Linked DNA regions of Oreochromis niloticus. The protein of the gene in region 1 interacts with the protein of each later gene in a biochemical or structural test. Links are inferred from orthologs where the notes say so. Each region holds a gene or a part of one and is shown on either strand. Other genes may lie near its edges.

Region 1 (7,406 bases):
ATATAATCTAGAAGGTTTTTGCAAATCATGTATTAATTATGAATAAAGCAGCTTTTTTTTCTCAGACAAAATTAATTTCCAAACCTGTCAGAAGAATAAACTGCAACAACATAAACACTCAAAATTCTAGTTCAGCGCGTTGGATCCTTCCATCTCTCAGGATTTCATCTTCCTCATTCTACTCCTGTGGTCCAATAGATAAACTGTCACCTTGTTTGACAGATGAAGGCCGGCGGTAAACACAGGTTCTTTTTCTAACATGACAAGAGGAAAGTATTGCATCTACAATGCCTTGGATACAGTCAACATAAAACATATCGAATGGCATTCCTCGCTGCATTCCTCTCAATATCAAAAGGTGCGTGTTTGAGGATAGCCTTACTGCGTTTACGCCTGTGTTTGCGCCCTGACCCACTGGGGCCAGTGCAATAACTTTGGACTGCCTCCCACTGCATCTCGTTGCAATGGCCACTCTCAGTTTTTATTTAGCTAGGTTGTGTGCCTTCCCAGTCCGGCCGCTTTTCAGATTCATTTCCAGGTAAACACAGTGTGGCCAGCCACAAACCTGCAGCCAACAGGCGTTGTCACAGCTGTGGCAGATAATGGCAGGTCCAAACTCCAGCCCGGCTCTGGAATGTTTACTGTCACCACAGGCAAGTTGGCCGCAAACATTTTTTTTTCCAGCACTTTCCAAGAGGAAGACTCTCTTGTTATTAATTTTATTTTGATGAATTACATGCTTAACCCTTTGCCCTGTGCTGTTTTGTGTGGCTCGGTGTACTCAGGAGGGTAGAAAGGCACAAAAAGGTGCATTCTTCAGCAGAGCTTTTAATTTCAGTTGAGAAAAAAATCCTTACTTTGAAAGTTGGAACTTAAAGCTAGCACATAACTGCCAACAGCTCCTGGGTGTTTGAAGGAATGTTCCACCTTCCTCTCACCGAGCAGAGATCTATCCGTTTCCATCCCCCTGCCCTGCACCCAAGAAAACTTCCTGGTGTCATTTTGGGGCCACGTGTGTGCTTTGCTTTCACCTCTTTAACTCAGTCATTACATTTTCACCACTTAGTGGATTCCCTTATCATAACCAATAAAGGAATGACACCTAAATGTGTGAAATGTAACACCCATCATCCTAAAGGCTAATTAATCCAGAGTGTGGCAAATCTAACTGGAGGAGAAAGAGGGCTACACTGCTGGTTCAGGTGCCACAAGGAAATTTTCAATGGAAATATATAAATTTTATAATAACACACTGAGCTGTGTTCTGACTCAATCTCATGAGAACAAGTCAATGCAGTCCTGGCCTCATTTTCAGTGCATGCGGGATTGTGAAAGCTTCAGCTGGGAACAGAAAAACTGCCAAGAAACGTGGCAGCGGTTTGTACATATTGCAGCAATGACCATCAGGCCATTAGATTCCCTGCTCAGTGTGTTGAAGTGAACTATTGAAGTGCGTATTTTAAAGCTGGTGTCAATGGAATAAACCAGAGGTTAAATAGAAAGGGACACACTGCCTGTATTTGACCCAAAGGTTTACCTGGTCTGAACCTCAATCATAAGCAAAATGATTTACAACATTACTTTAATTTGACTGTGAAACATCAAAAAGACTCTGAAATCTTTGGATAAAGATTTTCGTTTTATATTGCTACTTTTTTTTAGTCCAGTTTTACATAATTACGGTAGAAGAATGGATACTTGGCATATTTTTTTATTCACTAACAGACCAGCTTACAAGTATATACATGCACGTGTAATTAACCTTCTGAATTTAAGCCGAGTGTAACGCAATGCAAGATTTTCAGTCTTTGGTGATTCAATCATCTTTTCTGTACCAACCATAAAGAGGCAGTGATTAACTACTCTGGCTTTTAAAATTCGGGAGGGACTTGTTCTGATTCTGTGGAACATTTAAACTGTGTTTTGGAGCTCACATTTCTGAAATTCTCCACATTTTGTCACTTTGCTGACACTTTTTCTTTACTTGTTTTTTTTTTGTTCCGTTTCCAAAAACTGAAGTCAGGCCCCATATATCAAATTTACCGTGTGATTTCTTTGGTTATCTCTTTCCACTGACAAAGTCAGAGGGGGTCATAAATAAAAATGTTACAATTGTACAGAGTGTGAGATAGAGTCAGAGTGATATGTAGTGTCTGCTGTGGAGAGGAGGTAACATTTTTTTGTGAAAAGGCCAGTTATTGTTCTGGAGTGAGGATGCAAACACTACACCAAAGAATAATAAAGAAAAACAAAATACGCTGAATAGAAATTACATCTGCATAAAGCCCTGCACCAGTTTTTTGTTTTTCCAAAATGTGACCTTCACTCATGTGAGAGGACTCTGGAAAGTTGATGATTAACCATGGATTTAGCTTCATGTCTCATTCAGGAACATAATGTTACACAGGTCAAGGACCCTTTTAAAATGCTCACGGTTTTTAGTTTCTGTAATTTTAAAATAAGCACATCATGAAATAATATTTTTAACTCATATATATTGGATTTAGCGGTACCAGAACCATTCCAGGTCCTTTTTGAACCCGTTTTCATACTTTTTAAAAGAAAATATGCAACATTTTTCACATTCAGCGTGACCACATCGTTGCGTAACACACACAAACATACTGGCTGGCCATGCAAGCATTCACGATCGGATTTTTTTTAGCACATTTATGCAACAGAAATGCGTCAGAATATTTGTAAAACCTTTTTAAAATTATATTTTAAAATCTATGAAAAATGTCTTCTTTGAAATCCAGTTACTCCATAATGAGCTCACACCAAAAATATTCAACGCGCCTAATCTTCCGCCCTTAACACTTTATAAAGGCTCTATTATACACAAATATTAGATGACTGTTTGTTTTAAGCGTTTTGTGATTTTGCAGCGACTGTCCCTTTCAAAAATAACATTTCACAAAACTTATTGTTGTTGACTCAGTCGAGCCGGGAGAGCGCAGATTTGACCATCTCCAGCTTTCTCCATTTCCACCTCTCCGCCGGTGCAATCCCAAATCCTCAAACACACAGAGCTTTTTCTCATGATCTCATTTCCAAGTTAAGCAGACTGTGTTAGTCCCTCGTCAACACGACAGGTTTACTCGCCTTTACTAATGGGGCTCTATACTGATAGTTATGCTCTTGCGTAAATATGCAGTCAAATAGATGTACAACTACTGACACGTGGCTGGCATCGCTCTGCAGCCTCACCTTGATGTTTGTGTCATACAAATACTGTACGGGTTGCGAAAATGAGAGGCCCTCAACACGCAGGCCCGCACGTCTGATGAAAAACAGGAGTTTCGTGCTTTAAAAGGTCTCCCAACAAACAAAATCAGAAAAGCTGTCTGCCTATACAACCACGCGAACTCTCGAATGACCTATTTAAATATCAGAATGTGGGCTGTAACGTCATCACTTCCGTGTTTTTCTTGATTTCGGTTATTTTTCATCTCTTTTTTTGAGTCAACCTAAAGAAAAAGCGCCCAACTTTCGTTGATTTTAAAATATTTCACGGGCGTTTGAGTTCAAAGAATGACTTTATGTGCCACAGACAGTAGAGCCAGTCGGAGGTGGCATCCGAGAGAGGGCGCTCTGAAGCTGTGCCTGGCGTATTCGACACTAATTAAAACATTTAGAAACAGTAATTCAGTCTCCCAGGTTAAGAAATCAGGTTAAACTGTGCCTTTGTGCAAATATCACCTACATTAGTTGGGAAAGAGGTAAGGACTTTAGTACTGACAAAATGTAAACTTTAGCTTGTAGGAAGTTTTGATATTGTTTAAAATGACCAATTGTATCAAACAAGCTGCGGTCATTTACACGGATCTCGCTGCTTTTTCTGTGGACTAAGCAAAGCTGAAAGAGAAATCCTCTTCAGGTGAACATCAGAAAGGTTTAAAAACTGTGTCTTATCATTTATGTAAGACATAAACATGTGTTCTTGGATTTATATAGCAACAAAGCTATGGCAGAATAATATTTAATCCTGTATCAGTTAATGGTTTAATCTGCCTTAAATACTCCTCTGTGGAGATTTTTGCTGAAACGAGATTTTACTTCATTTCTAAACGTTTTCGTGTTCTTTGGTGTTCTCGGTGTAAAATAGTTAAAATTTATATGTAGGCTTAGGCAATAAATTCCTTGAATGCAACGCAATAAAATGGATTATGATTTGAGCTCAGCTGAAGTGGAATAAGCACTTTGGAGGATGTGCGTAATGAAAAGCGCACCAAGGAAGAGCGCCAAACATTCCTTTTATAGTTCTCCCCCCCTTTTTCTGCCCCAACCAAAATACAATAAGATTAGTTTATAATGAAGCTTTTCATATGAAACTGTTCTTTTCAGTTAGCGCAGGTGTACAATTGGGGTGGGGGGATGCTCGAGGAGTCTCACGCCTAGGTGCGAGGAGATTATTCAAATAGGGCCCAAGGCGTAGAAGTAGGGATTGGAGGCTTGCCTAGAGCACAGAGCTATATCACAGCGTTAACAAGCAGCACGGAGCGTCATTTGAACTCCAGTCACTGACAGACGCATTTCACGGCTGGCTCCATAAGACACACATGCTCCAGTCTTCGACGAAGGGACACACCGACGACCTAAATACACTCAGTGGTCCCCAGTTACCTGCTATTAGAGAGACTTTTGGCTTTCCCTCTGCTGGGAGACGCTTTGTAAAAGTCCTCCATGATGCTTGGAGCAGTTAAAATGGAAGGACACGAACACACCGACTGGAGCACCTACTACGGAGAGCCCGAGGTGGGTACCTTAAATATATATTTTTTTCTGTCTAAAGCCGATCCCATTTTATACAACTCAATATTAGCCCTGAGATAATATTAACTTTGTGATCAAATATTGACTTGAGGCGCCTCCAAATCCTCCCCCATCTCCACGCAGCGCACTATCCTAACAAAGTTGCTTGACATGTAGGGGAAGAAACTTTTCGCTCGGATTATAATTTCATAAGTCTCTACGTGTTTCTACTAAATCGGGTTATTGTTGGTCAGGTTTCCACCCAATAAACACGTGTGCCGTTTGATTTCGGGCAGATTTTTCAGTGGACACACGCACACCGAGTACGATTTTCATCTAGGTTGCACATTTTAAGAGGAATAGTCACCTCAATTTTATTTATTTATTTATGTTTTGTTGTAATAGTGGCGTTAAATATATTGTTAAATATACACACCCCTGTTTTTCATTTCTAGGAAATACTTCGCGCGAGAGCAAACGCTTACAATGCCACTTCACACTTACGAAACCGGGAAGCTTTAAAATATTCAGTATTATTTATGGAGATGAATAAGGCGATTTTTATCAGGCTCAAATGATAACGATTCGCCGTGTTTAGAAATCACTGTGCCGCTTTATTCCTCGCTGCAATGCCAGATGAAACTCACGAATGCCTCTTTCCCTCACTGACAGTGTTACACCTCGGTTGGCAACATGAACGCGGGCCTGGGAATGAACTCTATGAATACCTACATGAGCATGTCCGGCATGAGCACCACTGCCAACATGACGGCCAACTCCATGAATATGTCATACGTCAACACGGGCATGAGCCCCTCCATGACCGGCATGTCACCGGGAACCGGAGCCATGAACGGCATGGGCGCAGGGATGACGGCAATGAGCGCAGCCCTGAGCCCCAGCATGAGTCCCATGACCGCACAGCCCGCGTCTATGAACGCCCTCACGTCGTACTCAAACATGAACGCCATGAGCCCGATATACGGACAGTCTAACATCAACAGGTCCAGAGACCCAAAGACCTACCGCAGGAGCTACACGCACGCCAAACCCCCGTACTCCTACATTTCTCTCATCACCATGGCCATCCAGCAGTCCCCGAGCAAGATGCTGACACTAGCCGAGATCTACCAGTGGATAATGGACCTCTTCCCGTTTTACCGACAGAACCAGCAGCGCTGGCAGAACTCCATTCGCCACTCTTTGTCTTTCAATGACTGTTTCGTCAAAGTGCCCAGGTCGCCGGATAAACCGGGGAAAGGCTCGTTTTGGACTCTGCACCCGGACTCCGGGAACATGTTCGAGAACGGCTGCTACCTGAGGAGGCAGAAACGCTTTAAGTGCGACAAGAAGATGAAGGAACCGGGCCGCAAGTCAGGGGACGGCGGCTCCTCCAACAGCAGCTCAGAGAGCTGCAACGGCAACGAGTCCCCGCTCTCCAACTCCTCCTCCAGCGACCACAAAAGGTCCCTGTCGGACATGAAGACGAGCCAGGCCCTGAGCCCGGAGCACACCGCTGCTAGCCCGGTGACGCAGGGGCAGCACCTCATGTCTCAGCATCACTCGGTTCTTGCGCACGAAGCCCACCTGAAGCCGGAGCACCACTACTCCTTCAACCACCCTTTCTCCATAAATAACCTCATGTCCTCGGAGCAGCAGCATCACAAAATGGACTTAAAGACTTACGAGCAGGTGATGCATTACTCCGGCTATGGCTCCCCCATGGCGGGACCTCTTTCCATGGGCTCCATGGCGGGGAAAGCCGGTCTGGATTCTTCATCCATACCTGACACAACTTACTACCAAGGTGTCTATTCCAGACCAATCATGAACTCCTCGTAAACTCTTTTATCCCCTCATGTAATGTGGACTTTCTTCCCATTCACTTTGTACATTTGTAAAAGAAAAAAGTATAGACTTTGTGTACAATATGTATTTCAGATATTTTTGACGTTTCCCACAGTTTTAGTTGTCGAGTTTGTTAGTAGCCTAATTATTTTGAGAGGATGCTGATATTAATGATTAAAAAACACTGATAATGTGACGGAAATCTGCTCAGAAGTTGGTTTCAGGACTGGACCCAAAGACAACCAACAACAACTTGCTGTAAAATAGCCTGCGTCCGCATAACTGGACTCGTAAATGACTCGAAATGCCTCGCTGGATTTGTTCAATCATTTGTGTAATTCCTATTTATGGCTTGTATATGTGTATTCTTGTAGTGACAAGAACAGAATCTATATTAAAGTGTTATTGGTTTTGTTTTCTGAATGTCACGGTGTTGGACCATTTATTATTATTATTATTATTATTATTATTATTATTATTATTATTATAGGAAAAATTAGATTTTATCCAAAAAACGAACTTCAAACGGAGAATTTGCAGGAGAAAGATACAACTTGAGGCGGCATTAATTTAGTCCAGTTTTGGTTTATATTATCATAACAAAAACGAATCCATTCATCCATGTTTGGGATCATAAAATACGTTTCTCACGATGTATTTATTTATTTAATTCAAATTCTGGAATTTATTCTTACCCACGTAAGGCGCACAGTCAGCTTGGATTAATAGCTTTGCTGGATAAAACCGGGAACAATGCTCCCAATTTGTCATTCAGGAAATGTAAACAACACACATATATGCTC
Region 2 (7,212 bases), on another chromosome or scaffold:
ACTACAGAAAACTACTACTGAGTTAACATTCCTTCAACAAAAACAAAACTACCTAATATTTACCTTATAATTTTCAAAAAGTGACACGGGAATGTAATCACGAACTGAGCTGGTGATTTAATTGATGGTTTCCTGTTTTCCACCGCGGTCGTATTTTCTGAAGGGAAGGAATACAATTCATGTGCCTTATTTTGAATCGGGTAAAGGCGAATGTTTTAGTTAACTGCCTTTGATAAAATAATTACTGAGTTTCTTCTTCGCCCCCCCATCCCCCCACCCCCTTATAATTAACATGGATTTTAATCCGCCTGCTAGGGGTGAGGATTTAACTATAGACGCAAATATTTGTTTAGTTTTGCATGTAACCTACCTCAGATTCCTCACTCGCTCACTATACCGTCAGCGATTGTGCCGTAGGCTACTGTGAAGATGTAGCTTTACAGATTAGGCTTATAAATACATGTACCGTTACCCAGCTGGCAATATCCATCATTTTATAATCGGAGAAATATTCCAGTACAGTGGACAAACGCTGCTGGCTTTCAATAAAAAGTCTGCTAGGCCTGTAAGTAGTCTGTCCTGTAAATGAAGTGAACGCGCAATCATTTAATAAAAATGCTTTTACCCTCTCTATTTGGTTTCATTCCATATTTACCGTGTTTATTAAAATATCCATGCAAGAAAATGATTGTAATCGCGCCCTGGGTCGAGTAATATTGTGTTCACAGTTACCATTAAGTGACCTTCAGTGTGACCAGTATTGGGTTGCATGTAATGAGACATGTTACAGTCCATAATGGGGGTTAGGTAAACAGTGAAGTTGGGGAATGTGAGCTATGAGGATGCGAGATGGGACAGGCTGCAGATGAAGGGAAATTACTGTTGAACTCTGCTTTCCCTCCTCGCTGGGTAAGATGGCGCCTGACGCTGACCTGCCCTCCTCCCTCCCTCCTTTTTCTGTCTCTCTCTCTCCCCCCGTCCCTCTCCCTCCAGCTCTGGGCCATAAATCCGTTGTTGTTTATGAAAATTTACAACATAGCCATACAAGTTTACGACGCGGCCCGGGTTCCCATTGGCCGCAGCTTGTCACGTGGCTGGGAGCCATGAACATGAACTTTTTTTTCTCCTTTTTTATATTTAATTTTCAATTGCGGGCTAGAGGAGCCTTTCATTTAACGGTCTCGGGCTTCCACGGGAACCTTTTCACAGGCGACCTTCGTCATTTTACCATGTCTCACATGTACTTTTGGGGATTTTTTCTAAGGGGTGAGGGGTGAGATGTTAGGCAGAACCTCGACGAGCAAGGAGCTTACAGTAAGACATGCCTGGATCACTTGGGTGCCTTGGCGGGCTCCTGAAAGGTAACGGAAAGATGAGACGAAGGAACCGACCCCCATGGAGAACCAAGCTTCCGTAAGGGGTCTCAGCCGGGAGACTTTTCCCCGTCACTGCACCTGCCCACTCCCTCCAGTCACCCCCCTGTGTTTACATACAGAGACCTTCACAAGGTAAGGCAGCTTACGCTCGTCAGCCGGTGCATGTGGTTGACAATGTACTTGTTTGCATCTTCTTAAAGCAAGCAACTTACTTTATGGTTTCGCCAGCTTTGATTTTTGTTAGAGATTGAAATCCTGGAAAGGAATGGTTTCGTGTTACAGTTGATCTTTATCAGGATTCCCATCACTGATGCTTCGTGTTAAATCTGATTTATCAGATTTACAAGCTCTTATTTGATGATGATGATTATTATTAATAATATTTTAACATTTAACATTCATTTTTGCAGTGAGCTTAGTGTTGTAGGCTGTCTGGATTGTATTTGTTGGTGGATTTAAATGGGGATGTGCTTTCGGGTGGATGGATGATGGGCAAAGTATGCGCTCTTTGACGCCCTCCTGTGGAGGGAGTGGGGCTATTGTGCTTGCAGCTCTGCGTGTTTTTCTTTTCTTTTTTTTGCTGCAAATGAGAGAGGTCGACATCTGTGCATCCACGTGTTTTATTCTATGTGCCTTGTATGTGTGCATGTAGGCCTCAGCGTGATGTGCATGGGGTTAATAAACAGGATGACAACCACTAAACATTATTACACTTAAAAATGCATTTTAAAATGATCAGATATTTTAATTGTGAAATGTTTCTTTCAGTCTCTGTCCATAGATGCTGTTGTTCCCGGTGTTGCCGAACGTAAAATCATAACATTCATGTTGCTAGACTGTAATTAATATTTAATAAAATGCATCGATGCAAAAAAACATGCAATGTATCCCCCAATCAGTCTTAACAGGGTGATTTAAATGCATCAATTGCAGTGATAAATTTCCCTGTTCTATATGTCATTTCTGCATAAAGAGTATGATTTTTTTTGCTTGAACGACCGTAATTTCTTGGGGTAACACGTGGATTATAGGCCACGAACAAGAAAGTGACTTTAAATGTTTGCTCAGAAGCTACTACGAGTGTGTGAGTGTGCCTGCAAAGTCGGAGAGCACCGCCCCCCTTCCTTCACCAGTGACCATCGTACCCCCTTCACCCCTCTCTCAACCCGACAAGTCAGACACCAGCGCGCTCTCACTCTGCTCTCCTTTCTTTTCGATGCCTGTGTTTTAGTTCCTGGGTGTGTCCCTGGCTCAACTCAGAGAAGTAATTTTCGTGGGAACTTTGTTGCCATTGGCCAACCATAAATCAGCTGTTGTAGCTCGACTGTTTAGCCAACACAAACTCCGCGCATAGCTTTCCTCTCATTGTGGGCCAACACTGGGTGTGTAGGAGCCCGGTATTCACCCTTCCTAAAGTCGCGCCTTCTGGGAGTGTGTTAACGCACTCTCTCTCTCACACACACATACCTGAGACTGAATAAATCCATCCCACTGTTCCTGTCAGTCTTAACACAGGAATGGGCTTGTGCTGGGTAAATGCTCTGCTCCGGGGAAACGGCATGTGGAGGAAACCTTAGGACAAGTCACTGCCTTCGAGAGGCGAATGTGCCATAAAAATTCCACAGGGAGTAAAACAAACGGGAAGCGCCGGACTGCGCCATGCCTGTTTCACTTCTTTTAAAATTTGTGATTTCCTTCATGAATTAATTTGAAAGAAAGTCTAAAGCTGACGAACCGTTTTCAAATGGTGAATCGGTCGGGTTACAGCGTTAAACGAAGCTGGGCCAAGTGTGCTGAGGTTTATTGAGCAATGATACATGACTGCTGCAAGGAATAGCTTCTAACATATCTAAAAATAACATTATTATTTATTATCAATAATATTTTCGACGGTTTCAGTGATCGATTGCACAGCTGTGTTGAGAAATTGTTTTGGGAATTTTTTTTTAATGATCACAGTGGCAAAAATGAGGAGAAAATCTCAAGATCGCCTTTTCTCTGTCATCGTAAATACGTATGTGCTTTTTGTATTAACCCCTGGGAATATAAATATGCTGTTCAGCTTTCACCACACTCGCAAAATAATGTTAAAGTTTGATTGAGTATTCTACATTTCGGGGACTTAAAAAGCATCAACTTCACTTCTAAGCAGCAAATCCTTTCACCGTGTCATTTTTGCAATAAAGTCTATTTTTTCCACCCCTCCACTAATTCCATTAAATTCAAAAGTCATACTTAGCAAAGCCCCGGGCTTTGTAGTTTCTCAGGTTATAAAAAGAAGAAATAATCAATCTTTAGCTTATATGTAAACAAATAAAAACACGAGAAACTGCAGCTTGGCATGATTGACTGTTTAAAGGTCAATATAGCAGAGGAGTCGCCGTTAAATAAGAGCAAAATAACATCGGGTTTGGCGCAAAAGGCTTGTAATAGCTATCATCTGAGCATCTGTTCCATGGAGGGCCATAGTTATATATTTTAACCTGCTTATAAACGACATTCGTGTGTTCATATAAAGCCCATATTTATAGTTATTAATTTTTCAAAGTGGCGTAAAAAAGCAGGCCTCGGATAGCACTTTCTGTGGCTTTATTCGATAAAGTGATGTTTAGCTTTTATTCTTCCCCCAAACATTTATTCATTAGTCTTTTTTTTTTTTTTTTTTTTTTTTGCTCTTGAAGTCGTTCAGATATTTCATGATAAGGCTATATCATATGAGAGAAAACGCAGCTCTGTTGCGAATGGGCTTTTATTCTATTAAGTGCGCAGACTGTTTACACTCATAGCCCATCATAACATGCATAACGGATTCTGATCGAATTATTTCTGTACACTATCACCGCCGAGATTGCACTCTCAGCATGTCACTTGTTGTATTGTTCAGGAGCCTTTTTTCTTTTTCTTCTTCTTTTTTTTTTTTTTGCCGCAATGGTCGTTAACCTCCGAATGACCCCGTGTGCAGCCCACGTCTCGGAAAGCGCCGCAGACACGCAGTGCAACTGTTGAACCAGAGGATGGCGCACCACGACAATCCAAAACACCCAAAGCCCCGGCTCAGAGTTTGCCCTAGCCACGAGCGCAGGGAAAGCGCGCACCCCTTATATCCCACCCAGTATTTCCTGCGTGCACGAGTTTACCTCTGGAGGTCACCGAGCAGGATTTACGACTGGTCAACAAAAGCACGTGATTCTTCGCCATACCCCATATTTGGGTGCCTACGTAAGAGAGAATCAAGTCCATGTCCCACTCATTTCCATAATTCATCATAAATTGTGCAAGGGTGCTATAGGACGCGCTAAAGCATAAGAGCCACAAATCAAGAACACAGGTTATGCTATTTTACCTCTAAAAATAACCATCAAAAACAAGAGCAATACCTACAACAAGCAAACGGTGGAACTGTCAACAAATGAGCTCCTATTTTGTGAACTCATTCTGCGGTCGCTATCCCAATGGCGCGGACTTCCAGTTACATAATTATGGAGACCACAGTACGGCAAACGAGCAATATAGAGACTCAACAGCCATGCATTCCAGCAGGTATGGCTACGGCTACAACGGGATGGACCTAACAGTCGGTCGGACCAGTACCGGACACTTTGTGGGAAGCGAGCGGACACCGGGCTACTCCCCGAGTCACTCAGCGGCGACAACACCCGCGGTGGAGCCTGTCAGGTACAACCAGTCCGCAAGCAGCACCGGGAACTCGTCTCTATCGCCTCCACCTGACTCTCTACCGTGCTCCTCGGTCGCCAGCTCGTCCCCAGTGACCGAGACACAGTCTCAGCACAGAGCTGTGAAAAACTCCATAACGACCCCGTGCTCAACCCCGTGCTCAAACTCGAACGGAGCCACGCTGCTGCTCAGCCGGGACTGTGTGTCCAAAGCTTCCCCTCTGGAGGAAGAGAAGCCCGCGGGAAGTGCACCGACAACTCCTCAAAATGTAACCGACTCAACACAGCCTCAGATATACCCGTGGATGAGAAAACTACACATAAGTCACGGTAAACTGCTTTGTTTAATGACTTCGTACTGATTTTGATCTTTTGTAAAAAACAAAAAGCTGTTGTCTGACTGTTTGTTTAAAAAAAAAGAAAGAGAGAAAAGGGACGTGGGATCATCTTATTTAGGACATTTTATGAGCACAAGCCAAATTTTGGCCATTCTGGCGTTAAAGTGATAGAAAGAGCACAAATAAACGTAGTTTTGGAAAAGGGGCATGTGGCGCTATGTGCACCTCTCACCTGTTTGGTTTATATTTGGTTAGCAAGACTATCAGGTACGGGATAGTGTAGCAACAGATGCGAGGTTAGACTAGTTAAATGTATTTGACCTTTTTCTACACTTGATATTTACAAAATGTGCGTTTTAAAATGGTTTTAAATAAAAAGAGGATACTTAAAATATTTTTTGCTATTAACCCCCTTTCTATGGACTCAGTAGTAAAAGTGTGTGGTACCTTGTTACTTGTAAGTTTTAACCATTCAAGCTCTACAAGGTGCCAGTCGTGTGGCAGCGATTAAGACATTCATACCTATAATATTACCAAACACAAGATTGTAAAATTGAAAGAAACGTCTTCAAGAAAGTTGGCGCAAAAGTAAAATTATTATTTAATTCTTCTGCGTCTGATCTGTTTTCTCTTTTTTGTGTGTACAAGATTTGTCTGGGCCAGAGGGGAAGCGGGCCAGAACTGCATACACTCGGTACCAGACCCTCGAGCTGGAGAAGGAGTTCCACTTCAACCGGTACCTGACCCGCAGGCGGAGGATCGAGATAGCCCATGCCCTCTGCCTCTCAGAGAGACAGATCAAAATCTGGTTTCAGAACCGAAGGATGAAGTGGAAGAAGGACAACAAACTAAAAAGCATGAGCATGGCGGCTGCAGGCGGAGGAGCCTATAGGCCCTGATTTTTACACCTTTTAATCCTGAAAAAAGAGCACTTCAAAATAAAAAAAGCAAAACAAAGATTGTCATATCAACTTCTCCTCCTATTCCAAAAAAGCGCAGAGACTTAGCGGGCTGTGTGAGAGAAGGGACAGAGGGGAGGGTCAGCCTATCTATAAACCTTCTGTATGTCCAACAACAGTCCCTTGTATTCCTTAATATAATTTCATTTTTATCCCTACCGTGGTTATGCTTATGTGAGTAAAATGCATTATGTACAGTTCTGTCTAGATTTAGAAGATGAAAAAAGAGACATGAAAATAAATGTTTGCTTAAATTATTTCTTGTTCAGACGGGAAAAAAAACGTTAAATAAATAAAAGCTTGAAATGCTACCCGCCTAGCGCAAATAAATCCATATTTTCTGTGTGATGCACTCAACAATAACAGCTTAATAAGTAGAAGGTTGAGGTTGAGCTACATTTGTGTTTGACCTTTCTTTTCTCTGTATGTACTGTATATGTATGTATTTATTTGTTTGGTGTATTGTACCGAGTTGTCAGATAACTTGCTTCCAAAAGTAGAACCAGCAGTAAAAGCCTTGTGTGGTTATTGTATGTGTTGTGAACACACGTGGACAAAGGTGCCGACTCACCCTTGTATGTACAGTAGCTGTGCCTTGTATCTTTTTTTTTTTTTTTTTTTTTTTTTTTTTTTTGCAGGAGCTGCTTTTATTCTCTTTCTTTCCTTATTATTTTATTATTATATATATTTTTTTCTTTTTGCGTTCTTCACCTGGACGCAACATCTGAGTAAAAGCGTGTTTTAGCTGTTTTTAGGGTCCCACCGTAAATCTTATCGCAATGTGTATTATCTCCATCGTGATAAGGTTTTTTTTTCTTTCTTTTTTTTTTTTTGTAAATGTTTTTCAGAAGACTGGAAGTCAAAC

The links.
Region 2: the proteins of foxa2 (region 1) and hoxa5a form a complex in vitro, tested with the Homo sapiens proteins (2 studies listed by BioGRID). The link is inferred for Oreochromis niloticus from reciprocal best matches to the Homo sapiens genes FOXA2 and HOXA5.

The regions. Positions count from the first base shown.
Region 1 is NC_031983.2:28,013,317-28,020,722, reverse strand, and holds foxa2 (forkhead box protein A2), read left to right. Parts: upstream 1-4,343; 5' UTR 4,344-4,686; coding exon 4,687-4,758; intron 4,759-5,427; coding exon 5,428-6,597; 3' UTR 6,598-7,026; downstream 7,027-7,406. UniProt on the Homo sapiens protein: Transcription factor that is involved in embryonic development, establishment of tissue-specific gene expression and regulation of gene expression in differentiated tissues.
Region 2 is NC_031985.2:25,349,331-25,356,542, reverse strand, and holds the start of hoxa5a (homeobox protein Hox-A5a), read left to right. Parts: upstream 1-4,059; 5' UTR 4,060-4,785; coding exon 4,786-5,380; intron 5,381-6,036; coding exon 6,037-6,287; 3' UTR 6,288-7,212. UniProt on the Homo sapiens protein: Sequence-specific transcription factor which is part of a developmental regulatory system that provides cells with specific positional identities on the anterior-posterior axis. Also binds to its own promoter.